Saccharomyces cerevisiae S288C: one gene and its partner. Changing the gene in region 2 together with the main gene of any one other region gives a genetic interaction. Each region holds a gene or a part of one and is shown on either strand. Other genes may lie near its edges. The genes, in order: BUD5 and BUD2.

Evidence for each region.
Region 1: of BUD2 (region 2) and BUD5, changing one suppresses a phenotype caused by changing the other (phenotypic suppression), as found in Saccharomyces cerevisiae (one study listed by BioGRID).

The regions. Positions count from the first base shown.
Region 1 is NC_001135.5:196,805-201,509, forward strand, and holds BUD5 (Ras family guanine nucleotide exchange factor BUD5), read right to left. Parts: upstream 2,746-4,705; coding exon 817-2,745; downstream 1-816. Other genes in the region: PHO87 (SPX domain-containing inorganic phosphate transporter), read right to left, coding at 1-381; MATALPHA2 (homeodomain mating type protein alpha2), read right to left, coding at 2,742-3,374; MATALPHA1 (transcriptional co-activator mating type protein alpha), read left to right, coding at 3,638-4,165; YCR041W (uncharacterized protein), read left to right, coding at 4,107-4,439; transcription initiation factor TFIID subunit TAF2, read right to left, coding at 4,370-4,705. UniProt on the Saccharomyces cerevisiae protein: GDP-GTP exchange factor (GEF) for the small GTPase BUD1/RSR1. Regulates the activity of BUD1 together with BUD2 which is a GTPase-activating protein (GAP) of BUD1. Required to produce both the axial and bipolar patterns of bud site selection.
Region 2 is NC_001143.9:265,329-271,172, forward strand, and holds BUD2 (GTPase-activating protein BUD2), read right to left. Parts: upstream 4,132-5,844; coding exon 817-4,131; downstream 1-816. Other genes in the region: MBR1 (Mbr1p), read left to right, coding at 1-480; YKL091C (phosphatidylinositol/phosphatidylcholine-binding protein), read right to left, coding at 4,390-5,322. UniProt on the Saccharomyces cerevisiae protein: Stimulates the GTPase activity of BUD1/RSR1. Participates in the regulation of bud-site selection.

The DNA of each region.
Region 1 (4,705 bases), on a different chromosome or scaffold from region 2:
AGAGGTGGTTTTCCCTTGAGGAGATAACTCGTCTAACTCAATTGTTTCCTCGTTAATATTGTTCCCATCTATGGCCTTTTCGTCGGAGTCTCCCCTTTTGCTTCCTGAAGGTGTTTTAGAACCAAAGAGCTTACGCTTGAGTTTATGTGTAAATCTTCTTTTCGATGAAGATGGTTCTCCTGCAGCTATGTTGCTTTCTATATCAGCGATTGGACCTGGAGTCTGAGAGTCAGCGTCATCGTTTAAGTCACCGGTTGGCGTTTCTTGTTTCAATTCATCTGTCTGTAATGTGTAGATCAAATTTTTCAATTCGTTATAATCTAGGTAATGATTCTGCCATTCAGGGACAGCGTTGTATTTGAGAAAGTGTGAGAATCTCATTTCGAGGCACAATAATAGCCGCCTTTACCGTAGTTTTGCTGCACCTTTATCTGAGAGCTGACTGCTTTTTTGGTGTGAAACACTGTTTTCTGGTAATAATTTTTCAATGCATCGGATTACTTTTCCCACGTGCGAAATCATCAATTAATTAGATTGAAAAAAGGGTAAGGGAAAATAAGAAAGAGGCGGTAGCCTAAAGATACGGTAATTGAAACGTTTCCTATGCACAATCTTAAACCTTTTTAGGTAATTGATTAAGTTGACTGTAATATCTGTAAAAGATTACATCTAATTTACGTCTGGTTTCTTATCAAAAAATATTATCTACTGTAGTTATGCAAGTATTCTTAATTTTCAGTACTAAACATGAATATTAATTATTTGTGAGCGTACAAGAAGCAAAAGGAAGTCATCTTTCTTTGAACAGTTCTGTTTTTAGGTAAGCCTTGGAACCTTAGCTATACTGACTTGATACGCCCTGTCTTTGTTGTCGTTATATAAAGTGTGCACCTTTATCATAGCCCCTAATAAGCTTCTTGCAGTAGTATTTGAACAGTGTATATCTTCATATTGCTTTTGTTGTAAATATTGCGCAAAAGCGACTATCTTTGTGATTTGGTTGAACTTTTGCATATTCACGTTATTACCATCTTTAGTGAATGTATCGTTTCCGTCTCTTATGAAGGTAATGTCCCTGATAAGCAGTGATGTAAAAGGTACACAAGGAAGCTGACTGTGGAAAATATGTTTAATTGTTCTTCTATAAACGTTGTAGTTGTTGTTTGGATGTACGACGACTTTTAGGCGCTGAAAAAGGTGGTCTGATTTAACATCTATCGGGAGAGATAGTCTTTCTATTGAATGATTTTGCAATGATGTAATGATTGAAGCAAGTGAGTTTAAGTTTCGTAAGTATAGACAAGACAGTGCAACTTGTAACCAGTAGGAAATGGTGTGCGTTTGCTGCAAAGTTGTCTCAAGAACGTAGGACGATAACTGGTTGGAAAGCGTAAACACGGAGTCAATTGTTGTATCGTTGTGTTTGAAATGTCTTGTGAATTCTATTGTTTCAATATCCAAGTAAAGAGAAGATTCTAAGAGAGTCAATGTCTTTGCAAGTGACCATGGAGATACGTTTAGAGCGAAGGCTTCGACTTCTAGAAGTTCACCCTGTTTCCATTGGAAAAGTAAATCACTGAGGTCAGTTGCACCGCACAATTCATCATTTGCGTTCGTTTTGTCTATCTCGTATTGGAGAAATAAGTTTTCGTAGTCCAGGGGCGGTTTATTTTCTTCGATTTCCTTATCAGTTAGACCAATGTAATGAATCTTCAATTGCCTCGTTCTTTTTTTGTTTATAAACAGCTGAACTATGTCTGCAAACAGTTCTTGGTATTCATAATATTCAGCCAAGTGACTGTACCAAAAATTGAGGATATCTTTTAATGTTGTCTCACTATCTTGCCAATAAGACTCTACCCAGATTTGTATTAGACGAGGGACGGAGTGATTTTTGTGTTTGTTTTTATTAATTGTGGGATAGGATAGTAGCAACTCTTGGAGGAGAGCATTGTCAGTTGTCCAGTCTCTGAAGTTAAGTAGTAAGTTTGCGGAGTCAAAGGGGGATGGCTTTTGCCATTTGTGAGAGTTGTGCGGCAGCATCTTATTCAAATAGAGCTGTATTCTGAAGACCTCTTGTAGAACATCATCCATACTAAAAAGTAAATCGTCCTGTCCCATTACGAGCTGTATTAGTGCTGTGACCCTCTGTATATTTACGTTGCCATGAAGAAGGTAATGGGCGATATTTTGATACAATTCCTGAGTTGCATGTTGGATTGAGTTTACGAAGGGTCGCCAGACGGCCAGAAACCTCCAGGCGGAGTTAACAACTAGTAATACGGCATCCATGTTTGCATCAGCGCCGAGCCTATACCAGTCACTGAGTAGACGTTTTCTTGCTCTTTTTATGTCCTGACTTCTTTTGACGAGGGGGCATTCTCTAGAGACACAGGCAGTTGCTTCCAGCAACTGCCGTACGGCCGTTCTCATGCTGTCGAGGATTTTTTTTGGGACGATATTGTCATTATAGGGCAGTGTGTGACTTATGAATTGTTGTAGAAGGACGTCTGTGATGTTGGAGATATGTATTTTGTTAACTCTTCTTGAGACGATTTGGCCCTGGATAGCGAAGCGTGCGGTTACAAATAGGTCGTCTTGTTCAAGAAGGTAGGCGAGGACATTATCTATCAGTACAAACATCTTAGTAGTGTCTGAGGAGAGGGTTGATTGTTTATGTATTTTTGCGAAATATATATATATATATTCTACACAGATATATACATATTTGTTTTTCGGGCTCATTCTTTCTTCTTTGCCAGAGGCTCACCGCTCAAGAGGTCCGCTAATTCTGGAGCGATTGTTATTGTTTTTTCTTTTCTTCTTCTATTCGAAACCCAGTTTTTGATTTGAATGCGAGATAAACTGGTATTCTTCATTAGATTCTCTAGGCCCTTGGTATCTAGATATGGGTTCTCGATGTTCTTTGCAAACCAACTTTCTAGTATTCGGACATTTTCTTTTGTAAACCGGTGTCCTCTGTAAGGTTTAGTACTTTTGTTTATCATATCTTGAGTTACCACATTAAATACCAACCCATCCGCCGATTTATTTTTCTGTGTAAGTTGATAATTACTTCTATCGTTTTCTATGCTGCGCATTTCTTTGAGTAATACAGTAATGGTAGTAGTGAGTTGAGATGTTGTTTGCAACAACTTCTTCTCCTCATCACTAATCTTACGGTTTTTGTTGGCCCTAGATAAGAATCCTAATATATCCCTTAATTCAACTTCTTCTTCTGTTGTTACACTCTCTGGTAACTTAGGTAAATTACAGCAAATAGAAAAGAGCTTTTTATTTATGTCTAGTATGCTGGATTTAAACTCATCTGTGATTTGTGGATTTAAAAGGTCTTTAATGGGTATTTTATTCATTTTTTCTTGCTTATCTTCCTTTTTTTCTTGCCCACTTCTAAGCTGATTTCAATCTCTCCTTTATATATATTTTTAAGTTCCAACATTTTATGTTTCAAAACATTAATGATGTCTGGGTTTTGTTTGGGATGCAATTTATTGCTTCCCAATGTAGAAAAGTACATCATATGAAACAACTTAAACTCTTAACTACTTCTTTTAACCTTCACTTTTTATGAAATGTATCAACCATATATAATAACTTAATAGACGACATTCACAATATGTTTACTTCGAAGCCTGCTTTCAAAATTAAGAACAAAGCATCCAAATCATACAGAAACACAGCGGTTTCAAAAAAGCTGAAAGAAAAACGTCTAGCTGAGCATGTGAGGCCAAGCTGCTTCAATATTATTCGACCACTCAAGAAAGATATCCAGATTCCTGTTCCTTCCTCTCGATTTTTAAATAAAATCCAAATTCACAGGATAGCGTCTGGAAGTCAAAATACTCAGTTTCGACAGTTCAATAAGACATCTATAAAATCTTCAAAGAAATATTTAAACTCATTTATGGCTTTTAGAGCATATTACTCACAGTTTGGCTCCGGTGTAAAACAAAATGTCTTGTCTTCTCTGCTCGCTGAAGAATGGCACGCGGACAAAATGCAGCACGGAATATGGGACTACTTCGCGCAACAGTATAATTTTATAAACCCTGGTTTTGGTTTTGTAGAGTGGTTGACGAATAATTATGCTGAAGTACGTGGTGACGGATATTGGGAAGATGTGTTTGTACATTTGGCCTTATAGAGTGTGGTCGTGGCGGAGGTTGTTTATCTTTCGAGTACTGAATGTTGTCAGTATAGCTATCCTATTTGAAACTCCCCATCGTCTTGCTCTTGTTCCCAATGTTTGTTTATACACTCATATGGCTATACCCTTATCTACTTGCCTCTTTTGTTTATGTCTATGTATTTGTATAAAATATGATATTACTCAGACTCAAGCAAACAATCAATTCTTAGCATCATTCTTTGTTCTTATCTTAACCATAAACGATCTTGATGTGACTTTTGTAATTTGAACGAATTGGCTATACGGGACGGATGACAAATGCACCATTACTCTAGGTTGTTGTTGGATCTTAACAAACCGTAAAGGTAAACTGCCCATGCGGTTCACATGACTTTTGACTTTCCTTTGTTTGCTAGTTACCTTCGGCTTCACAATTTGTTTTTCCACTTTTCTAACAGGTTTATCACCTTTCAAACTTATCTTTATCTTATTCGCCTTCTTGGGTGCCTCCACAGTAGAGGTTACTTCCTTTTTAATATGTACTTTTAGGATACT
Region 2 (5,844 bases):
CTCTTTAGCGGTGCGTGTACTAAAAAGAAAAACAACGTATTACTGAAAAGTGAAACACCCAATTCAGAATTCTCTAGTAACTCACTTCAACATTGCAACTCAAGGTCGTTTTCTCTACCCAGGTCAAGATCAAGGTCTTCTGCCATTGCCATACCAACACATTTGTATGGCTTGGAAAAGTACGTTTCACCTGGGTTGGATACTTTGACTGCTGACCCAGAAGAAAGTATTGAAAGGTTTTCAAATAATCGGCCCCGTGAAATATCATCGTGTTGTCCGAACGATACAGGGGACACCTCCTCATCATTATCACATTCGAACACTTCCTCATCACTAAATTTCCCTTTAGGTACAAATACAAATCAATTCCACCAACCAAGGCAGCCAGTACAACAGCAACAGTCTTCGAAACCAAACTTTGGTGCTGGGAGGAAAAAATCTTTCATTGAGATGTCACTAGCAAGTTCCTTTGCAGGCTAACATTCTCGCCACCTTGGAATAACCGTATGATGTTCAACTTTGTTATTTATTTCCACATTCTGGATCGCCATCTGTTCGTTTTTATTAAATATAATATATACCCATTTGTATCTCCTGTTTGGTTTCCAAATTTCCATATACTTATCGCTGTCTATCATCTCCTCTCGAAGCATTTTTTTATATACTATATTATGAGAAATCTTTCTGAAAAATTATGAATTACTTTTTTCTGCTGATAGTACAACCCGCTATATACTGTTACAAGTAGTGAATAAAGAAGTAAAAAAAAAAAAACTTTCAAAGGAAAGAATATGAAGTGAACATTTTTTTCTACGATTAAGATCCCCCTGTTTCTTTTTTCTTTTTGAACCATCTTGTCAGCTTACGGGAATTTTGTTCTTTAGGAACATCTGCGTTAGGAGGTTTCCTCATTATCCTAGATAACTTTGTCGGGGAAAATCTATTCCCCAAGTTACCTTTACCTTGCGAGTTTGGAAGCGTCAAGTAATCATCCTTGGCTCCATTTTCCGATGATGTTCCATGTACCGATGTTTTGTTGCTACTCTTGGGATTCTCATCACTTACATCAATAGTCAAAAATTTACAGTAACTATCTCCAACTGTGTTATTGGATTTACTAGAGACACCTTTTGTGAAGAATTTCTGCAATCTTGCGGAAGAGTTTTCATTTGTTGGTTTATTTAGTAGTTTAAGAACAATTTCTTTTCCCTCCTTTATTTCTTCATAAAAAATTTTATGTGAGAGTGAAATGGAGTATTTTTTGTCTTCAAACAAAGTGCTGGAAGCACATTCATAACCTGACAACCGTTTTCTAATATGATTAATCCTATTATAGAGTAAACATGACTCTTGCTCCAATTCTTTCATTGCATGCTTTTCCTCTTCTGCTTTCGGGATTATAGAATTAAATTTGATGCCTGAATTAGCGCCATTATCCAAATCTCTGCTTCTGGAACCTACATCATCGCTTTTCAGTAGGTTCATTAAATCATCTCCGAAGATCTCCGTGTTGTTTTCAGTTATTTTCTCAAATTCTAACTCTCCAATTTCTGGCTTAACCTCAATTGGTGAATCCAAATCTTTTTTATCCACAGACAAATTTAGGCTGCTACCGCTTAACAGGCCCTCCTCTTCGATTAATTCTCCCTTCCCACCATTATCCATGTGATTGTATTTTTCCATCTTGGTCATATCTTCCTGACTGAAATTAACAATCAAGTTAACAAACTCAGTTTCTCTCAAATTCTTATCAAGCAGATAAGGAATCTGAGGCAAATCATCCAACATCGTTTGTTCAATGGCCAATTTGGGTCTCGAAATAGTAGAACTTAGGTTCAATATCTTTGAATTAAAATCTAGTTTCTTTTGCGTCATTTTATCAATGTAATCTAATAAGTCATTGTGTCTTTTATCGATAAAGTTATTCATCTTCATTAGCCAGGGCTCTTTGTTTGCAAACTGCGTCAAAGTGGACAGATTAAGTAAAACTTTACTTATTAGGGTAAGATTCCTTCTTGCTGTTTCGTTTAAATTTTGAGAAACATATTTGAATAGCTTAGGGTTTAATATGACTGGACAAAAAAACCTTAAAAACAATAATCCTGATATACCATTCAAAATTATTTGCAAAGTGTCATCGATACAAATTATCTCTAGTTTTTGCCTAAAGATTTTTAAAACATTTCTTATTTCAATCGGCAGGTCATTACTCGTTGCATACAGCCTTTTCCAAATCTTCGTAACCCAAGAATACAATCGTTTGTAGTTGTCGGCAATTATTTTCCTCTTTTTTACTTCATCTTTTTCTTTTACTCTAGCAGGATCCAATTCACATGATTTGTTTGACTCAATGATCTCTTTTAGTATTGCACTAAGCGCTTTACTCAAATATTCATTACCCACTCTGAAAAAGTACTGTTCAATCGACTTTGTTAAGATAGAGTTACCACGGAATAAACTGTTGAAAACATGCTTTGAGTCTAAATTTTTCTGGTTTATTCTTGAAACCGTTCCATCAATTTTAGCCAATTCTTTGTCTATAAGGACGTGGAACCATTCTTCTATTCTTGACAAAGATTGGAATATATCGAGAAAAATTATGGATGTTTGCGTCAATTTGTTATCATTCTCCATTGATGAAGAAGATTTGTAAATTAGATTGGAAACCATGGACAAGTTTGCGTTCATCAAAAGTTTTTCCAATTTAACGAAATTGGTTGACGGTAAAATGAAGTTCAAATTTGAAGAAATTTTAATACAGATTGTTCCTATTTGAAAATTTTTGTTATCAACGTCCATGATGGGTAGTCTTGTTTCCTTATTATATCTTGTATCATTTATTATTTCTTGTGTGATTTTTATTTTGCCTATCAATCGTAACCGTTTTTTATTATTGAGATCGTGGAATAACTGCTTGATTTCCAGATAAGAATTAGTAAGTCTTAAAAGTTCATTGAACTGAAACTCTTCTCTCCAAAATGGATTAGAGGAGTTTGAAACCATGGATGTTCTAGCCCATGTATGGCCCCAGGCCGTTATGTCTGTGAATATTGACCATGGCGTATTATTCTTGTCATTTAAATTGATTGACTGAAAATTAGCTTCCAGTATGGAAATTTTAAAGCTATTCGATATCTTCATATCATTTGATTTATCTGAGCCAGTAATAGATAAGTATTCCGACCTAGCGAACGATTGTAACGCTATAAAACAATCCTCCAGGTCTATTCTTAAGGGAAACTCTACAATAATTTCTTGAGAAATATCACTAGAGTTGGTGGCAGCACTGGCAATATTTTCTATGCGAAACTTTTCGAGGCCCAACTGGCTCCTTAGTAATGGCAATTCACCTAAAAACAAACTGTTTTCACTTTGTAAAACAGATGAATCCAGAATTCTTATCTCTGATCTTAAAAGCTGGCTAATATTCAATGAGTAAATCAGAGAGCCGTCACTCTGTAAAAGAAGATCTAGCATGCCGTTTGATTTAAGCACCCCCATAGCGGAAAACCAACCTACGCTGTTGTCATCATTATTAATTATATCAGGGCTTTCTAAAATATTTGTTGCTGGCGGAAGGACGATGTTCTTAACGATGGGCCCAAAAACATTCAATTTGTAAACCAGCAAACTTTCTGGTTTCGCCATTTTTTTGCTTTTAAATTCTAGAGGTCGCGATACTTGAAACTTATTAAATATACCATTTGTCTTCATTGAGCTCCACCAGATCAGACATGTTAGCAATTTCTTGAAATCACTCCAACTTTTAACTCGCAGGTAAACTTTATTATCTTTACCTGAGGTGTTTACTTGGATTATAAAATTACAATTTGCATTAATATCCTTAAAAGAGGAATGCTTATCCTTAATAATCTCGATTCTACATTGCTGTAGATGTTTGATAATTGGCTGAATATTAGTAGAGTCTGCTGTTAACTCATCGATTGAGTGGGTTAGTGCACCTGTACTGGTAATTTGCAGATAGTGTGTCTTCCAGTCGTTTAAGGACAGGTTATTACACCACTGAATCTCACCCTTAAAGGTATTCTTGTAATGCTTAACGTTGGACAAAAATTCATTCAATTTGAAATATGATGTTCGACTTTGGGCCGGTTCATTGTTGGAGCTCATAATATGATACAATCAAAGATAAACACCACGACGTATGCACGGATAAAGTTTTCAGTCTGACCGAGTAGTTATTCCTACTATTTTGTTGTTTCTTCCTCCGTTTTCATAAATGGCGTTTGTTTGGATACCTTTCTTTTTTATCGAACAGAACGCGTTCAAGAATGAAAGTCATTAATTATTATTAGATACAGAGATATACATATTATAGAGTATGCATGCTATATTCACGGAAAGCTACGACGAAGGCCTGTATCATAGTTAGCTGGTAACAGTAAATTTACCAAAAATGTTGGGAATTTCACCTTCTGGTCCGATGTATCTAGGGTCTCTCCAGGGACCAATATCGGAATAGTAGAACTTATCATTAGGGTTGTGCAAGACAGATGTACCACCATATTTAACAGGCAAGTTCTCGATTGGAATTTGTTTTAATAATTCCTTTTTATAAGAAGAGCCAAGAATAAAGATTTTTGACACGGTTACTGGATCCAAGAAGGGTTTAACCATCTTGAACATCGTCGAGAAACCAAATGGACTGTGTATAATATAAAACTTACCCATTCTTTCAGGATAATAATTTTGACTGATATCTGCAACATCTTTAATATAGGAAAGCACATGATAAGCATTAGAAAGTGAGATACCCTTCAAGTCCAGCACAGTGCACGAAGTTTCAATAAGGTAGCCAGCTCTTCTCGAACACGCTGGGACCCGGTACGTGGCAAATAATTCGTACTCCTTGACTAAGTTTCTTAGCATCTGTTTTTCGGTAGTGATCTTGTACATTTTCTTTAAGTTAATTCCTCCTAGTTCTTCGAAGTACAATGGTCTCCCATCCTTATCAACGTGATGGTAATACTGAGGGTACATTTTGGCCAATTTGATTCTTTCTTTGTCTTCGGCTTCCTTGTTGTTTTCATAATCCTCGATAATAGTGTTGGCACCGTATTCTTCCCTCCATCGTTCAGTTTCTACAAACATCTCAACGCTAGCATTGATATCAAATTTCCTTGCCCGTAGAAATCGCAATAGCGTAGAATCATCCAGCCTTTCTTTGTAATTCTTTTCTAACAAGATTGACCTAAATTGCAAAAGCGCTTCCTCTTGCTCCTTAGTCAAATTGCCGGGAGTACCTGGCAAAGCATTGGGGGAGCATATTTGAGGATAAGTATCGAGTATGCTGGTTGTCATTCTTCCTTTCCAGTTTTAACAGTGCGCAAATGTATTGCTTTTCAGATTTATTTCCCCGTTATACAAGTTCAAGGAAATGTTTGAGTAGAGAGAATCACGATCTAAATAATAATCCGAAGAATTTAAAAAGGAGTAAATAGGGGCATACAAGAGGGGGAATTTCAGAAGTGCCTGTTATGTAAAAAAGATATGATAACACATAATGGATTGCATACCAGTAAATTTCCATATGTACTATGCCGACCTCTTTTCATGTAAACGCCTTGCAAATTCATACTTAATGATTACAAGAAAGTAATATGTAAATTTTAAGCTCAGGTTCAAGGTTTATAAGGGCCTTCGTCTCTGATAGAAGAATCAAGTTGGTAAATCCAAATGGAAGTACGGGTCCCAATAGCAGGTTTGATTTTTGAAGGTGACTCGAGATATATCAGCTGCCGCCCCTGAATCAGCAGTAATTATAACTGAAGAGAACGGACAATGTTTTACGTATAATTAAGGCACATAAATTCCATCTGGAGT